Linked DNA regions of Mus musculus: regions 1, 3 and 4 are each reported to be linked to region 2. The links are microRNA targets in miRTarBase. Many come from high-throughput screens and were not tested one by one. Region 2 holds a microRNA gene; each other region holds the end of a gene's coding sequence.
The links. Region 2 holds the annotated microRNA mmu-miR-3097-3p (CUCAGACCUUUCUACCUGUCAG, at 2,257-2,278, shown strand). A microRNA usually pairs through its seed, bases 2 to 8, with sites in the 3' UTR of a target mRNA and lowers its output. Matches are read on the target gene's strand: a 7mer-m8 pairs with bases 2 to 8, a 7mer-A1 pairs with bases 2 to 7 and ends in A, and an 8mer does both.

Region 1: miRTarBase lists Glod4 as a target of mmu-miR-3097-3p. Seed matches in the 3' UTR shown: 7mer-A1 at 1,776-1,782.
Region 3: miRTarBase lists Dph5 as a target of mmu-miR-3097-3p. Seed matches in the 3' UTR shown: 7mer-A1 at 2,844-2,850.
Region 4: the mRNA of Nip7 is a reported target of mmu-miR-3097-3p. Seed matches in the 3' UTR shown: 7mer-A1 at 1,719-1,725 and 8mer at 2,623-2,630.

The regions. Positions count from the first base shown.
Region 1 is chr11:76,218,493-76,222,492 of GRCm38, reverse strand. Glod4 (glyoxalase domain containing 4) reads left to right here. Exons shown (of 9, transcript NM_026029.3): 9 at 462-2,098. The coding sequence ends at 527. Dbil5 (diazepam binding inhibitor-like 5) reads right to left here. Exons shown (of 2, transcript NM_021294.2): 2 at 3,828-4,000. The coding sequence ends at 3,958. Among named protein-coding and RNA genes, the nearest start is that of Dbil5, 2.9 kb to the right of the region's middle.
Region 2 is chr5:35,018,838-35,023,085 of GRCm38, forward strand. Mir3097 (microRNA 3097) reads left to right here and starts at 2,212; the gene lies at 2,212-2,278. Rgs12 (regulator of G-protein signaling 12) reads left to right here. Exons shown (of 17, transcript NM_173402.2): 5 at 506-675; 6 at 1,477-1,569; 7 at 2,279-2,422; 8 at 3,755-3,934; 9 at 4,192-4,248.
Region 3 is chr3:115,928,105-115,932,104 of GRCm38, reverse strand. Dph5 (diphthamide biosynthesis 5) reads right to left here. Exons shown (of 8, transcript NM_027193.2): 8 at 2,782-3,596. The coding sequence ends at 3,385. Among named protein-coding and RNA genes, the nearest start is that of Dph5, 42 kb to the right of the region's middle.
Region 4 is chr8:107,058,016-107,062,015 of GRCm38, forward strand. It overlaps Nip7 (NIP7, nucleolar pre-rRNA processing protein), which reads left to right. Exons shown (of 5, transcript NM_025391.2): 4 at 32-172; 5 at 362-2,916. The coding sequence ends at 481. It overlaps Tmed6 (transmembrane p24 trafficking protein 6), which reads right to left. Exons shown (of 4, transcript NM_025458.2): 4 at 3,469-3,809. The coding sequence ends at 3,579. Among named protein-coding and RNA genes, the nearest start is that of Nip7, 3.1 kb to the left of the region's middle.

The DNA of each region.
Region 1 (4,000 bases), not on the chromosome of region 2:
ATTTTTAAGAATTGATTTTTCTGTGTATCTCTGGCTGTCCTGAAACTTGGTCTGTAGGTCAGGCTGGCCTCAAACTCAGAGATCTCCCTACTTCTGCCTCCTGAGTGCTGGGAATAAAGTGTTTGCCTGGCTGTCTCAAATACTATTTTTGGTGGTGGTACTGGGGTGTGAACTGAAGGTCAGTATTCCACCACTGGGCTGCATTCATTTTGTTTGGTCTCAGATTAAGCTCATGAGCATTGAGGGTTCCTGTTCTGCCAAGGACTCGGTAGTTGCACAGTCCCTGGTCTTTCATCAGCGGCCAGGCTCTCTGGCCAGCTGTGCAAATCACCAAGCAACTGTTTGCTGCTCACCAGCTCTCCTGTGAGTGAACAACATTCTCCACACAGATGGACTGCTTTAGCATTAATGCACGGTGGAGAATGCAGACTTGGAGTAACATTTGTCCCTCTGTTTCCTAGGCAATGGAAGCAGACAAAAGTGACGAGTGGTTTGCTACGAGGAATAAACCAAAGGCTTCGGGTTAGTGGAAGACACATGAAGAGCACTTACATCTCCAGTCCAGTCTGTTATCAGTCTGGCACTTATGTTTTGAGAAATGCTCCCACCACTTGGCTGTGTCCTGCATAGGAGGTCTGTGCAGTAGTTTCACTCTTCAAAGCTCTGTTTTTAGAAATGAAATATTTTTATCACTCTTGGTAGAGGCAAATTCCTACTGTGTGTAATTGTATTAAATTTGGTAACAAATTTATTGTCCAGACTGAGACAACTATATGGAATATTACTCTTGGTTGGGGCTGGAGGAAAATCTGATTACCTGTTAATCATGTAGATACTATTGAAACAAATGTCAGAATGAAGCCAAACCAGCTAGGCATGGGGGTGCACGCCTTTAATCCCAGCACTTGGGATACAGAGACAGGAGAGTGTCTGAGTTAGAGGCCAGCCAGGACTATAGAGACCCTGTCTCAAAACAAACAAACAAACAAAAAAAAAACAAAAGCTAAATCTACTGCTTAGAGTACTCATTTCCAGGACCCGATGGTAAGATTCTGTTCTGTTATCTTACCACAGAAGGTCTTGACGTTTAGAAACTTTTCCCATTGGCTTTCTGAGACAGTCTCACCTGATAGCTCTGGGTAACCTATTAATTCACCATGTAACTCAAGGCAGCTTTTAACTTCGTAACTGGAACTCGGTAGGCTAGATTGGTCTCAAACTCAAGAGACCAACCCACCCCTGCCTCTTGCTGAGATCAAATGCACAGGATACTGTACCCAGTGGTTTTGAATGTTTGTCCTGCTTCAGCCTCCAGTGTTAGGACTATAGATGTGGGCCACTATTCCATGTGGTGGATTGAACATGGTTGGCCCATGGAAAGTGGCACTATTGGAGGTGTGGCCTTATTGGAGGAGGTGTAGCATTGTTAGAGGAACTGTGTCACTGTGGAGATCTCTTATATGTGCTCAAGTCTGGACAATGTAGCAGTCTCCTCCTGGCTGGTTTTCGATTAAGATGTCAAACTTTTGGCTCCTTCAGTACCAAGTCCACTTGCATAATGCCATGTTTCCAACCATAATGATAATGGACTGACCTTCTGAAACTGTAAGCTAGGCCCAATTAAATGCCATTTTAAGAGTTGCTGTGGGGCTGGCGAGATGGCTCAGCAGGTAAGAGCACCCGACTGCTCTTCCAAAGGTCCTTAGTTCAAATCCCAGCAACCACGTGGTGGCTCACAACCATCCGTAACAAGATCTGACTCCCTCTTCTGGTGTGTCTGAAGACAGCTACGGTGTACTTACATGTAATAAATAAATAAATCTGAAAAGAACCTTAAAAAAAAAAAAAAAAAGAGTTGCTGTGATCATGGTGTCTCTTCACAGCAGTAGAACTCCTAAATCAGACACCAGGCTTGATGTTTCAAAGAATTTTTTGGCTATGTATGGACAGAATCCAACTCCTAGCTGGCACATCATCACCCCTCACCTAAACTCTGTAAAAACCCCTTGCTTTAGCCTGCATGTGTGACTTCACTGATCCTGTGAGGTCAGTGAACCCACCCAAGAGCTGCCTCCTAATAAACCTGCCTTTATCAACCATAATGGTGAATAGGTAAACTGCTTTGAGCACCCTTCTGGCGGGTGATCCAGCCTTTAGCCACCTGCCAGAGTGTTCTAAATTCAAGAATTTGAGAATCAAAGACACAAAGGCATGCACGCACGCACACATGCCAGCTTAATTTTTAATATGCCTAACTTGCTCAGTGGCCGGGCACTTCCAAACCTCCCCTCAGCTAGCACAGACTCCCCTCTGGCATTCCTGAGTTAATACCTTCTAAATCAATATTTTATTTTTGCGGCCCTGTTTCCTTCTTGGTAGCCTCCATTGGGGTGGCTTTCCCTTTACACCTACATTGCTGGATGATTTCTTTCCTGCAGCTCTTTAATCTCTCTGCTTCTAAGTCATGGAGAATCTGCCTGCTCTTCATCTCCTTCTGCCCCTTGCCCAGTCATTGGCTGTATGGCAGTTTTTTAGTACTGATCAAAGACACCTGGGGGCAGGGACCCTCAGCATTTGGAAATAAGGCTTTGGGGAGATGAATTAAAACAAAGCATTAGAGCCAATTCCCTACAATCTTTTAATCTGGTCTAGTCTGGCCTATATCTGCATCACTGAGAGAGAGAAAATGGCCATCATAGGGCCCACAAAGAGCCCTGTAGGTAAAGATGCTTTCCAGGAAAGCCTAGCAGCCTGAGTTTGATCCTGTGAACCCATGTAAAAGTTGGAGAGAACCAACTCTGAATTGTGTTCTGACCTTCACATGCACACTTGGCACCCTCACACCCACACACACAGTGCACACAATAAAAAAAATGTAATGATAAACAATAAACTTTATAGCCATCATGGTGGCTCATACTTTAAATGCAGCACTCAGGAGGAAGAATCAGATGGATCCCTGATGGCCAGCCTGGTTTATAGAGTGAATCCAGATCAGCCAAGTCCTATCTCATAAAACAAAGTATAGCTCCCACCCCCCACCCAACTGCCTAGAGAAACTTGCTGTTATATGACCAGATTTGCTAGAGAGCAAACCCTGGTGCCAGGCAAGTACTGCTTGCTTCAGACAAGACACATACTACCATGCTACCACGAAGTTAAGAATTCTACTTTAACACTTCATTTGCCAACTTCTGGGCACAATTTTAGCACACTGATGCCTCTGTAGTGATGGACACCGGCACTTACATGAGCCACACGTGCGTACGTTCATGTGCGTGTGCATGTGTGTGTCCGTCCATCACTGGGCCCCAAGCAGAAACCTAGGTTAAGAACATTTAGGTTGCTAAGGCTTAGGTGATTCTTTCAGGCACTGAGATGCTGAGGCCACCCTTCTTCCCTGTCCCTCAGCTGCTGTGCGTGATGCATGACCCACTTCACCATGTCACTCAAAGTTTGAGTTCCATCAAAATCCTAACTTCTCTGGACCTGTGTTCTAGGTGAGGGCTTTTCTATTTGTCTTTAGCTCTTTAGAAGGCAGAGCCCCTTTCTCCTCTGTACTGTTGGGTTCTTGGTGTGTTGATAACCCCTGATAATACAGATCCAAGCCCCCACCCCTGGTTATTTTAATAGCATGATTCACCCCACCTCTTTGCTCTTCTGCCAAATATCCACACACATTGTGGAACTGGGAAGACTATTAATGCCAGTCAGACCACAGAAAGGCAGATTAATGGAGTTTCACCCAGCAGAGAGAGGCTTCTACACATCTAAATACTTCTCCAGGACCCTCAAAGTTTCTCTTTTGCCACAGACTCCACTCTCATGCAGTTTGAATGATTTATTGGTGTTTCTGCTAACGCTGCTACCCTTTCAGTGTGTTTCAGCCATCAGGAATCTTAAACCCGTCCCCTACCAGTGGAGCCATGCTACTTCCTTGTGTCTGCCAAAATGCTCTTAGCATGGCTCCTTTTTCTTCAGCTCTTCCACTTTAGCAATG
Region 2 (4,248 bases):
CTCCTTTTCTTTGTTGTAATATTTTCCTGTATCGGGTCATCAGTGAATGAGCTACCAGATGACACATGGTTAAATACTCAGTTTGGATAGTGTGGCTTAATATCGTCACTGAAAAGTGATCTGCACACAGAAAAGTGCACAGGCAATGAGCCATGGATCCAAATTGCAGCAGACAGCACCAGGAGGGTGATGGGACCAACTGCAGCCCCTCCTCAGACTTCACTCAGGGGCTTTTGCTTTGTGGTGCACTTATAAATGCCTTCCCGCCTTCCGTATGCTCAGCATCATTCTTTCTGCTCTGTGTTGTATGCACACCTTAGGCAATAGCTTCTCTTGTTCAGCCCTGGGAAGTTGAGATGTGTTCTTTTCTGAAGTCTAGAAAGCCTTGGCTAGGTTTCAGGTGCAGTACATGTTGCTCAGTGAACAACATGGGTTGTGGGAAGTAGAGCTGGATATAGGTACCTGTGGCCTCCGAGGTGCAGGTATGTCTGTGATGATCCTGCAGAGTTGACTGGAGCTGACCTTAAGGACTGCATCAGCAACAACAGCCTGAGCAGCAATGCCAGCCTCCCCAGTGTGCAGAGCTGCCGGCGCCTACGAGAGAGGAGAGTTGCAAGCTGGGCAGTGTCATTTGAGCGTCTCCTTCAGGATCCTGTTGGTGTTCGCTACTTCTCTGTGAGTAAGGGGGACTGCTGTGGGGTGGCAGCACTTTGAGCCCGGGTGCTTGAGCTCACGGGGCCATCTCAGACCTCAGAGCCTGGGCATCACCTTGTTAGAGGTGTGGTCGTCCAGCACCTGCTCCAAGCTCAAGGATGGGGTAGGTAGCGTGTACACTTGTAGGGGCTGGCAGTTCTGTTTTCCCTTCCTGGCCTGCCTCCTGCCCTGGAGTTCCCTGCCGGCACACTTCCCTCTCACTCTCTCGATGTCTGTGCAGCAAGGAACATCAGAGTGTCTTGGCTCTGTGTGTTTGTTTTTTTTGTTTGTTTTGAGACTGGATTTCACTATGTTAGTCAGTCTGGTTTGGAACTCATAATCCCCCTGCCTTATCCTTCTGAGTACTAGGATTACAGTTGTATGACATCATCCTAGCTGGAGCTTCTTCAAAATTCTTGGAAATGCATGCTGACAAATACAGCTCTTAAGGATCCAGAAGTAGGGATGGAGCTGTGAAAGAGTGATTACGAGCAGCACGTGATAATAGTGTCAGTGATATGATGTCATATTTTATATGCTAACCAGAGACTAAAAATATATTTCTTTAAAAAAAAAAAAAAAGATGACCAGCCCTTGAGAAAAGAGCTGTGAGGCAGATGGCCCGCCCACTCACGTGTGCTGCGCAGCCCCTATGCCTGCTTTCAAGGCCCCTGCGAGGCTCCTTTCCTGCCATGGTGTAGACAAAGAGGGCCGGGGATATGGGGCTCAGCTTCATAGAGGGGTTGTGGAGTGACAACTGCTCTCCTTCCTGTGTTCCCTCAGGATTTTCTACGTAAGGAATTCAGTGAAGAGAACATTTTATTCTGGCAGGCCTGTGAGTGCTTCAGTCATGTTCCTGCACATGACAAAAAAGAGGTAAACTGCTCTTCAGAGCAGGGGCTGTGTGAGGACCGAGGTTACATCAAGGGTTGCTTGAGCAGTCGATGAGGGATGCTTCTTACTGACTTTAAAGAACGGTGACATTTCTGCTTCAGCATAAAAACTTAAGTGTGTGACATTTAATTCTGCCTAAACATAGTCTGCATAAATGCCTCGCCACAGAGCCTGGCAGTGGTGGCACTTGACGTTGGGTTGGGTAAGAAGGAACAGTGTTTGAAGAGACTTGGAGAAGCACTCTGGCAAACTGCAGCCTCTACCTGTGGCTTAACAGCACCTGTCTAGCTGCCCCAGGACTGCCCAGGCCATGTCCTGTGGCCTTTCCCCCAAAGTAACAGCTGTCCTCACAGAGTGGCCTCATGCCTGTGTCTTGTGCTCTGAGCATTGTGCACTTTTGCCCTCCCCTGTCGTGCACACTTTGCTGGCAGATCCTCCTCTGAGGCCCTTACAAAGCAGCCATTTAGAAATTTGCAGCCATTTAGAAATTTGTAGAGGAGCCGATTCAGGAGTTTCCTCCTGGCTCTTTCTTTTATATTTACTTTCATAAGCCAGACTATAGACAGGGCCTGTGACTCAGCTCTCCAGCCCCGAAGCAGAGTCAGCCTTAGGAATGTTTGAGTGACACAGGTGGGAAGTGTGTGTCCAGTGGGTGTGTCTACAGATCTGCTCAGACCTTTCTACCTGTCAGCTCTCTTACAGGGCCCGGGAGATTTTCAGTAAATTCCTGTGCAGCAAAGCCACCACTCCTGTCAACATTGACAGCCAGGCCCAGCTGGCAGATGACATTCTCAATGCACCCCACCCTGACATGTTCAAGGAACAACAGCTCCAGGTGACTTTGCAGACAGTCTTCCATGGGGCTTCCAGCCAAGGCTTGGGGGTGCAGAGTCACTCAGAGTAGCACGTGCCCTTCTGGGAAGGGGGCTGCTGGTCATGTGGGCATGGTGACAAGCCCATCTGACCACTGGGCTCCAGTCTCAAAAGGATTCAGTAGATCTGAGGAACAATAAAGCCTTTGCCACAGATAGCCCCATGTACCCACTGTCAACCGAAGTAAGGGACAATATTACTTTTCAAAAGTCTATGGGGCTGGTGAGACTGCTCAGCAGATAAAGGCTCTTGCCGCCAAACCTGACAACCTGAGTTTGATCATTGGGACCCACATAGTGAAAGGAGAGAATCAACTTCTATAAGTTGTACTCTTTAGACACGGACCATGGTGGGTGTACAACACACACACACACACTCTCTCTCTCTCTCTCTCTCTCTCACTAAATAAGTAAATGAATAAATAAGTATAAAAAAATTGTATGCACATTGGACACACTTGACCTACAGAACATGACAGCTACAGCGTGGCCACAACAGCACATTATGGAAGGTCAGTGGTCTTTGATGATTGCAGGGCTGACTCTGAGCAAGTTCGGTGTCACTTCCAGCATTTGAGAGCGGATGATAACTGCATTATCCCAGCCCAGAGAAAGCTTTCTATGAGCACACGTCGCTGCCACACTAGTGTACATCCAGAATGCTGTGGACCTGTCTGTATACTTACATGTTTACGTGCTTAGTAGCAGTAGCAGCAATTGTCATTTGAGACAGGATCTCACTGTGTAATTTCACCACCATTGACATGAAGCTCACATACTCGTGCCTCAGCCTCTGCCGGATCACAGGATGCACATGGAACCCTGTTTACATGTTTGTGTCTTAATTCTGGAAGAGCATGTGATCTGACCCGTCCAGAACACACTTCCCAGCCCTGCCAGCTGCTGTGCCGCTAGGTTGCAGGAATTAGCTTAAAACAGAGCAGAGCTTCCCCAGGCCTCACTTACCCTTGAGACAACTGCCTTCCAAGTTCCTAGGAAGTGAAGGCCTGCTAAGGGTGCAGCCACAGTCTTGAGTCTGCCTGCCCTTCTGGCTGTGCCTATGCCTATGACTCTGCTCTTACTAAGAGTGACAAAGGAGAGGCTGTTGACAGGGATCAGAAGGGTCCCTGGAGAGTTAATTAACATCTGAGTGCCCTGGGGCCCAAGGGAGGGTTGGCAGGAATGACACCCTTCCAAAATGTCACTCATTCATGGGTACAGACCTCCTATACCGCCTAGGACCTAAGGAGTTACCGTTCTTTCTGTGACTATACTGCATGGCATCTGCTCCACAGATTTTCAACCTGATGAAGTTTGATAGCTACACTCGCTTTCTGAAATCCCAGCTGTACCAAGAATGCGTCCTGGCAGAGGTGGAGGGACGTACCCTCCCGGACTCTCAGCAGGTCCCCAGCAGCCCAGCTTCCAAGCACAGCATCAGCTCTGACCACTCCAATGTGTCCACACCAAAAAAGGTGCTGGGCTAGCCCTTGTGGGGGTGAGAGTAAGGCTGTAACCACACATCCTGTCACCAGCAGAAGGTGGGGCCTGTAGGACACAGATACTCCTGAACCCTTTCCTGATCCCCTAACCCCTGGCTACCTCGGTGGTGAAAGAGAGGACTGTGCCCTTGACCCACTGAAGATTCTACCTGATTCCTCAGAATCCTTACTCATAGAGCTCTGTGTTGAGCCCCTTTAGTGTCTTAACTGATGTTTCTATTTGGTGACAGTTAAGTGGAAAATCAAAATCAGGACGATCCCTGAATGAAGATGTTGGGGAGGAGGAT
Region 3 (4,000 bases), not on the chromosome of region 2:
AGGGCAACGGGCAAAGGGACAGAGAGAAGGAATTCTTGGTGACAGCAGTGTTACTATCAAGGCGATTCACTGAATCTTTCTGTTGATACATTGACACCTAGCTATGGGCAACAGCATGGTAAAATCCGTGCCTAACACACACAAGGCCAAAGCTGTGTGATCTAACTTCCTTTACCCCGGCACTGCAAGAGCCAAAGCAAATCGAGACCAAACTTCAAGACAGCCAAAGCCAATAAAGAGCTCAACTGCTAAAGAAACACCAAATGTGCACTCCTTTCTCCGGTCTCTGTCTCAACCCTGGGACTCCAGCACTGATCATCTCTTAGTACTGGTGAAGTTTTCATTCTTTAACTCATTTACATTGAGGTTAAATTACATGCAGGTTTGCCAAGCTGAGAAACAAACAAACAAACAAACCTAAATTTTAATTTCAAATTACATTTGGTAAGCTCTAATCCTACAAGCATTTTTGCTTGCTTTCCAGCTAACTTTGACTTTTCTCAGTTTTAACTGACAGGTATGAATTTCCTACTTATTTTGCTTGTAGTTCACTGAGTATATTGGATCAATGTATTGATGTTTACCAAATGAGGAAATTTTAGCTGTCATTTCTACCTGCTCTGCTCTGCTCTACTCTGCTCCCTCCCTCGCTCTCACATCTCATTACCGACATGCTTTTGGTTTTTGTTTGTTTGGTTTTGGTTTTTCAAAACAGGGTTTCTCTGTAGAGCCCTGCTGGCTGTCCTGGAACTCACTCTGTAGACCAAGCTGGCCTCGAACTCAGAAATCCGCCTGCCTCTGCCTCCCAAGTGCTGGGATTAAAGGTGTGCGCCACCACTGCCTGGCCCGACATGCTTTTTAAAACTGTTTGATATTGGAGCTGCTGAGGTGGGTCACCAGGTAAAAGTGCTCGCTGCCAAACCTAACAATCCGAGCTCAATCCCCACAACCTGCTTCTAGAAGCTGTCCTGTCACCTCTAAACAGGCACTGGCACATGCACACGTGTGTATGCGTGAGTGCACACACATGCACTTGCACACACACATGCAGTCATTTTCTGTCCACCAGTGTGGAGATTTTAAAAATGACTTGATCTTGCCCCCATGACATTACAATTCTGATTAATTTTTTTTAATTTTAGTCTTCCTCAGGTTGGAAAAATTTCTCTTCCTCTGTACTTCGGCCAATTTGCTTTTTCTTTTTGTTCTTGGATGACAAGACTCATTGTCTGCACTCATAAAAACACCTTTGCTTTCCATCCATGCACAGTTCTAAAGTGGCAGAGTCTAGGGTATGTTAACATCTCTGTCACCCAGTGTTCTTCCTTTCTAGTCATAAAGCCATACCGTATATTCTGTTCTAAGGCTATTATTGATACTATACTAATTTCTGTCACCATTTTCTGAACCATCTTAAACTTTGTCCTTGTAGACATTAACCCACTGCTTACCACCTTCATCCTATGGAGGCTGAACTTCACATTATATGAAACACTTTGTCCTTAATTGAGTTCCAGGCTCGGCCTTTACTAGTACACGGTCATTCTGGGTTTCTGAAGGAAAGCATGCATACTTATCAAGCCCTCCTAACTTGTCAGAATTCAAGCTTGAAGCTGTCTTCTCTCACAATGGAGAGCAATGTCTGTTTCTTTAGCCCCTGGCCAGGTTTTTCACCTAGATCTGTGGCTCTTTGTACACATACAGAAAGTAAGGAGTAAGCTGAGGACGTAGGACAGAGGTCAGAAGACTCACCACTCCAGAGCACCTTACTTTCTAAGGGCTCCTTCTTCAGTGTCCAGCTCCCTTTGGAGCCCACAGTTCCATCCACTAACCATCTCAAGCCAGTAGGACACTAGCTTGGTTGAATGTCTGGAAAAGTCTCAACAGGAAAAGCCACATAGGCAAAGTTCTCAGCCTGCCCTCTGGCTCCCCAGTGTCTTCCAACAATCATGCAGTGTAAAAGAGTTTTTAACTGGAGGGAATGAGTGCCATTCGAATACCAAACCTGCAAGTCCTTTATATTTAAAACATTTAAGTGTTTGGTTTAACACCCCCGAAGAAAACAACATAGAACTGCCTTAAGCTACTTGTCTCTTTCTTCTTGTGTGCACAATAATTTGAAAATGGGATGTTTTGTACACATTACAATATTTCATCCTAAATGAAATGTCAAAATATTTTCTAGCTAATGCATATATAATACCAGAAAGTAGAAAAAAATTTCAACCAATATTCATGAATAGACTGAGCAAAAAGATGGAGTTGATTAGGCTATGGAAATACTCATGACTGTCATGAAGCTACTTCTATTGCAGATGGGCAAAGGCAAAGCACTTTACGGCTATTAAACAAACGAGCCTTTTAAAATTGGTATTTAGTAAATGTGTATTCATGTGTGCACGTGCGATGACAAACATCAACATTGGGTATCCTCTTCCTCTATCCTGTTCCACTATTATTATTATTATTATTATTATTATTATTATTATTCATAAGGTAGTCTGGAACTTGCTATGTAGATCAGGCTGGCCTCAAACTCAGAAATCCGCCTGCCTCTGCCTCCTGAGTACTGGGATTTAAGGAGTGAGTCACCACACTCAGCTATCACCTTATCTTTTGAAACTGTCTCACATTGAATAAGGCACACACAGACTAACCAGAAAGCTTCAGGGAATCTGCCTGCTCCCACCCTGCATCAGGGTTACAGCCATACACTGCCACACTTGAATTTTTACACCAAATAAGGTATGTTCTCAGTCGCTGACTGCTACCTTTTTTTTAAAAAAAAAAAAAAAAAAGACTTATTTATTTATTTTATATATATGAATACACGATTACCTGTCTTCAGACACACCAGAAGAGAGCATCAGATCCCATTACAGATGGTTGTGAGCCACCATGTGGTTGCTGGGAATTGAACTCAGGACCTCTGGAAGAGCAGTCAGTGCTCTTAACCACTGAGCCATCTCTCCAGCCTGACAGCTACCTTTTATAAAGGAGATTATAAAACAATATATGAAGAGTTAGCAATCTTTTATTTGCTTTTCTTGCTGATTCATGCTGCTTTGTCCCTGAAAATCAGAGTTCAAGTGATTCATTGTCCAGTTTCCTCACGTTATTCTTGGTCTCCACCTCCTTGCATCGACTTGGCTCCCTTTTTCAGCTCCATCTGCCCACGTGTGTGCACCCTGACGAGTAGGAAACTCACGATGGAATGGGGGAAGCTGCCGCAGGAAACCAAACGCTGTCGTTCAACCTGCTTCTTCTTGGTCACTTCGGTTATATCTTCTTCATAAATGACAGAGCCATGCCATTTGACATATAAATACCACACACACCCCAATCTCACTGAAATGATCGTGAGACAACAGAAAATGTCCATGCTCAGAGTCCATCAGTACTCTGGGATTCCGGTATAGAGAAGAGACTTAGCATCTCCATCTCCAGTGGGTGCAGGTTGCCCCCTGTAATGACCAAAGAATGCAGTGGTTCTCCCAAGCTCACTGTGCACATCTGCTGTAACGTGCCTGCTGCAATTTTCTGATCTTCAGCTCCCACTCTGGCTAAGCCGACACAGAGTGTCTCCTCAGTGATTGCTGTTTTTGGGGAGGGAGACAGAGAGCAGCACGTCAACTCAGCAAGTGCATCCATCGCCTTAGTCAACTTTCACAGTAACAGTGCACACACTGACTTCTGAAATGTCGCTGCTGACTAGTCACGTTACCATTTGGAATTTACACTCCACATAATGATATAATATTTATCCTAAAACAAGTTCTGAGTGTACATCTTTATGACGCACACATACTATAAAGATTTTGGTTTAACTGTGTGTGTGTGTGTGTGTGTGTGTGTGTGTGTGTGTGTTGCTATATGCACACATGAATGCATGCATGTATGTGCTTACAGGTCCCCATGAAGGCAGAAGAGGGAGCTGTGTCTCCTGAGGCTGGAATTACAGGTGGTTGGGAACCAGTCAATTGCGTGCTTGGAACCTAAC
Region 4 (4,000 bases), not on the chromosome of region 2:
CCTTGTGTCTTGGCTTTTAACTCTCTTTCAGTATAAAGTGTGGGTAAAGCCGGGAGCAGAGCAGTCCTTCTTGTATGGAAACCATGTGTTGAAATCCGGTCTGGGTCGAATTACTGAGAACACATCTCAGTACCAGGGAGTGGTTGTCTATTCCATGGCGGACATTCCTCTGGTGAGTAGCCACGGTAGCCATCCATCACGGCAAATGCCAGGTACCCACTGGAAAGGATGAAGTTTCAGTCAGCAGCTCGGAGACTGACTTCTTGGCTCCTTTCACAGTTCTCAAAGATACAGCTGTTTCAATATAGTTTTTGTTTTGTTTTGTTTCCTTATAAATGAATGTCTGTTCTTTCAATTCCAGGGTTTTGGGGTGGCAGCAAAGTCTACCCAAGACTGCCGAAAAGTGGACCCCATGGCAATTGTGGTGTTCCACCAAGCAGACATTGGGGAGTACGTACGCCATGAAGAGACACTGACTTAGGACGGTCATTCCAAGAACATTTTGCTGTGTGAGAGGACTTAGCTTTGTTTCCTGTGTGCGGCCATCAGATTAAATCTGGACAACACTGAGATACGCAACTTGGGTTCTTATCAACAGAAATGGCGTGAAAACAGGGTCTCTGGCCCTCTAGAGTCAAAAGCAGGTGGATCACAAGTATAAGGCCAGCTCAGGCTACTTGGAGAGTTCAAGGCTAGCCTGGGCTACATAGTGAGCCTTGTCTCAAAAATCTAAAACAGACAAACCAGAACCTGAGAGTGTTTTGTGTGAGTAAATAGAGTGTTTCTGTTTTGTGTCTGCGTCGTCTTTGTTTGGATCAGAAGACTTGCTCTGAGTGATGGTTTCTAAGTTACTTCACTGAGGACAGGAGCCATCTTACTGTTATCTGTGATAACACTGTTTTCCAGGCTCATGATAGCACAGTGGACTTTCTATTGTGTGTTAATGTTAAAGGTAGAAACGGCCATATGAGCCTCTGGTTTTACATATGGAATTTAATAAATTTTAATGGTTTTATATTTGTTATTTCATATGTGTGAGTGTTTTGTTGGCATGTACGTATGTGCACTGCTTATGTGCCTGGTGCCTAAGGAAGTCAAGGTGATTTCAGACCTGGAACTAGAGTTACTGGTTGTGAGCCACCGTATAGGTGCCAGAAATTAAACTCAGGTCCTCTGCAGGGACAGCAGTGGTCTTAACCACTAAGCTATCCTAATAAATTTAATAGGTGCATTTTGGCTATTTTTCTTGGTGTTAAGTGGGGTATAGCGTGGAAGCGTCTGTATTCAAGCCTCAGTTCTGCCCCTTGCCAGCTGTGGTGGTGGACAAGTTCTCTGCTTAGAGAGGCTTCATTTTCTTCCTTTGTTAAAAGAAAAAACCCATGACCCTGCCGTATGGTGGTGCATATCTTTAGTTACAGCACGGGGGCTTGAGGGTGAGGCAAAGGCAGATGGAGCTCTATAGGTTCAAGGCCAGCCTGGTCTACATAAGGAGATCCTGGCCAGTCTTAAACCCAAAACCCACAAAACTGAAAAAACACCTCCAGTCATCAGTGTAACAGTGATATTCAGAATTAAAAATAGCAGTTGTAGGGGCTGGTGAGATGGCTCAGTGGGTAAGAGCACCCGACTGCTCTTCCAAAGGTCCGGAGTTCAAACCCCAGCAACCACATGGTGGCTCACAACCATCCGTAACAAGATCTGACTCCCTCTTCTGGAGTGTCTGAAGACAGCTACAGTGTACTTACTTACATATAATAAATAAATAAAAAATAGCAGTTGTAAAGCATCCTGCATGGGATAGAGTTATCCTGTCTCAAAACAGGAAATTGTTCGTGCGTGTCTGTGTGAGTATATCCTGCTTGGGTAGCGGTATCCTCAGAGGGCAGAAAACACTTGGGATTCCTTGGAGCCTGAGGTAAGGACAGTTGTGAGCTGGCCATTGTTGGTGTTGGGAACCAAACTTCAGTCCTCTAAAAGAGAATGTTCTTTCTGAACTGCTGAGCCATCTTCCCTGTCTGTGTTAAAATGATTTTGTTACTTTTTTTTTTTTTTAATTGAAACAAGTTCTGACTATGTATCTCTGCTTAGAATGTACCCAGGCTGGCCTCAAACTCAAGGATCCATTGATTCTGAAGTGCTGAGATTAAATGGGTATACTACCATACCAGGCTCAATTCCCCCACCTCCCTTTTTTTTTTGTTTTTGTTTGTTTTTTTTGTTTGTTTTGTTTTTGTTTGTTCTTTTGAGACAGGGTTTCTCTGTAGCCCTGACTGTCCTGGAACTCATTCTGTAGACCAGGCTGGCCTCAAACTCAGAGATCTGTTTGCCTCCAAAATACTGGCCTTAAAAAATGTGCCCCACCATGCCTAACTTCAGAACAATTTCTTTTTCTTTTTTTTTGAGACAGGGTTTCTCTGTATAGCCCTGGCAGTCCTGGAACTCACTTTGTAGACCAGGCTGGCCTCGAACTCAGAAATCCACCTGCCTCTGCCTCCCGAGTGCTGGGATTAAAGGCATGCACCACCACACCCGGCAGAACAGTTTCTTAAGATATGATCAGGTTATGTCAGTTTTAGGGGGCATTTTTATTTTTTGAGACATTTGTCACATTATATCTAAGTTGGTCTGAAATGCTATGGGACCCAGGCTGTCTTAGCCTCTCAGGTAATGGTATTATAGGTCTGTCGCCACACCAGTTTCCAATGGTAACATCTTTTAAATAAAGTAAAATATTTCCAACCGTTGAAGGGCACTACAGGCCAAGAAGATAGCTCAGTGGACAGCCTGGTAGGGTGGATCAGCCATGTGCCACCAAGCCTGATGCTGTGTTCAATCCCTGGGACAAGGTTGAAGGTGGGGACATTGCTGACCTTTGTAGTCCTCTACAATGGATTAAAATTTTTTAAACTCCAAAAAGTTGTCTCCGTATCAACTCTTTCAGAGCTTTTAACGTACTTTGAGATATGGTCTTGAACTGCCTAAGGCTGATCTTAGTGCTTCCTCTGCAGTGCTAGAGTTCAGATTTGAGAGCCACCACCCTGATTTCTGTGGTGCCAGGGATCGAGGCCCAAACTGCATACAAAGCAGGTGCTCTTACTGAAGGGAGCTTCATCCTTGAACCCACTTCCAGGGTTTCTCTGTGTAGCCCTGGCTGTCCTGGAACTCACTCTGTAGACCAGGCTGGCCTCGAACTCAGAAATCCGCCTGCCTCTGCTGGGATTAAAGGCGTGCGTCAGTGAAGGCTGAGGGACAGCTGGATAAAGATGTTTCTAGGCTGCGGATGGGGTTACACACCTTGCCAGCAGTGGGGATGCAGAATCTCTTTAGTTTGGGGTGAGTTGGGTCTACCCGGCAAGTTCTAGTAGCCAAGGCTACATATTGAAACCCTGCCTCAGATAAACAGTACTTTTAGCTTTTAGCACTTAATTCGTATTTTAGAATGATCAGCAGCAGAACTCACTTTTTGTTAAACATTTGCCTTTATTGGTGGACACAAGAGAAAGGGGACATAAGTTGACCCCCCCCCCAATAACTTTCCAAAGCCCATTTGATCAAAGCTTTGACAAATAGGCTATATGTTAGCATCTTGGCTTCTTTGTGTCAGTAGTTGAAGCAGTAAAAAGTCTTTTCAAGAAATAGAGCTGGAGGGCCCCGGAAAGAACAATAGCAAGGCTCTGAGCTGTGGACCACCAGTTCACATAGGTGTAGTTAGACTGCAGGAGGAAGAAGTCAGCCACTTTTCTCATCCTGGCATAGTTGTAGAAGCGCCACATGTGGAAAACTTGGTTCTCCACCCTTTGTGTGCTGTCCTGTGGGAAGAAGGAAAGCCACTCTGGCTGCTGTTGGGTCTTACCTGCCCTGATCTAAGTGACCTGTGACTCAGGAGTCTGAGAAACAGTGCTACAGCAGTTGGTAATACATGGTACTTTGACTTTGTTTGAGAAAAATTGGTGGAGTAGTTTTAAAGTTAGGAGGCATAGTTAGGGCTTGGGATGTACCC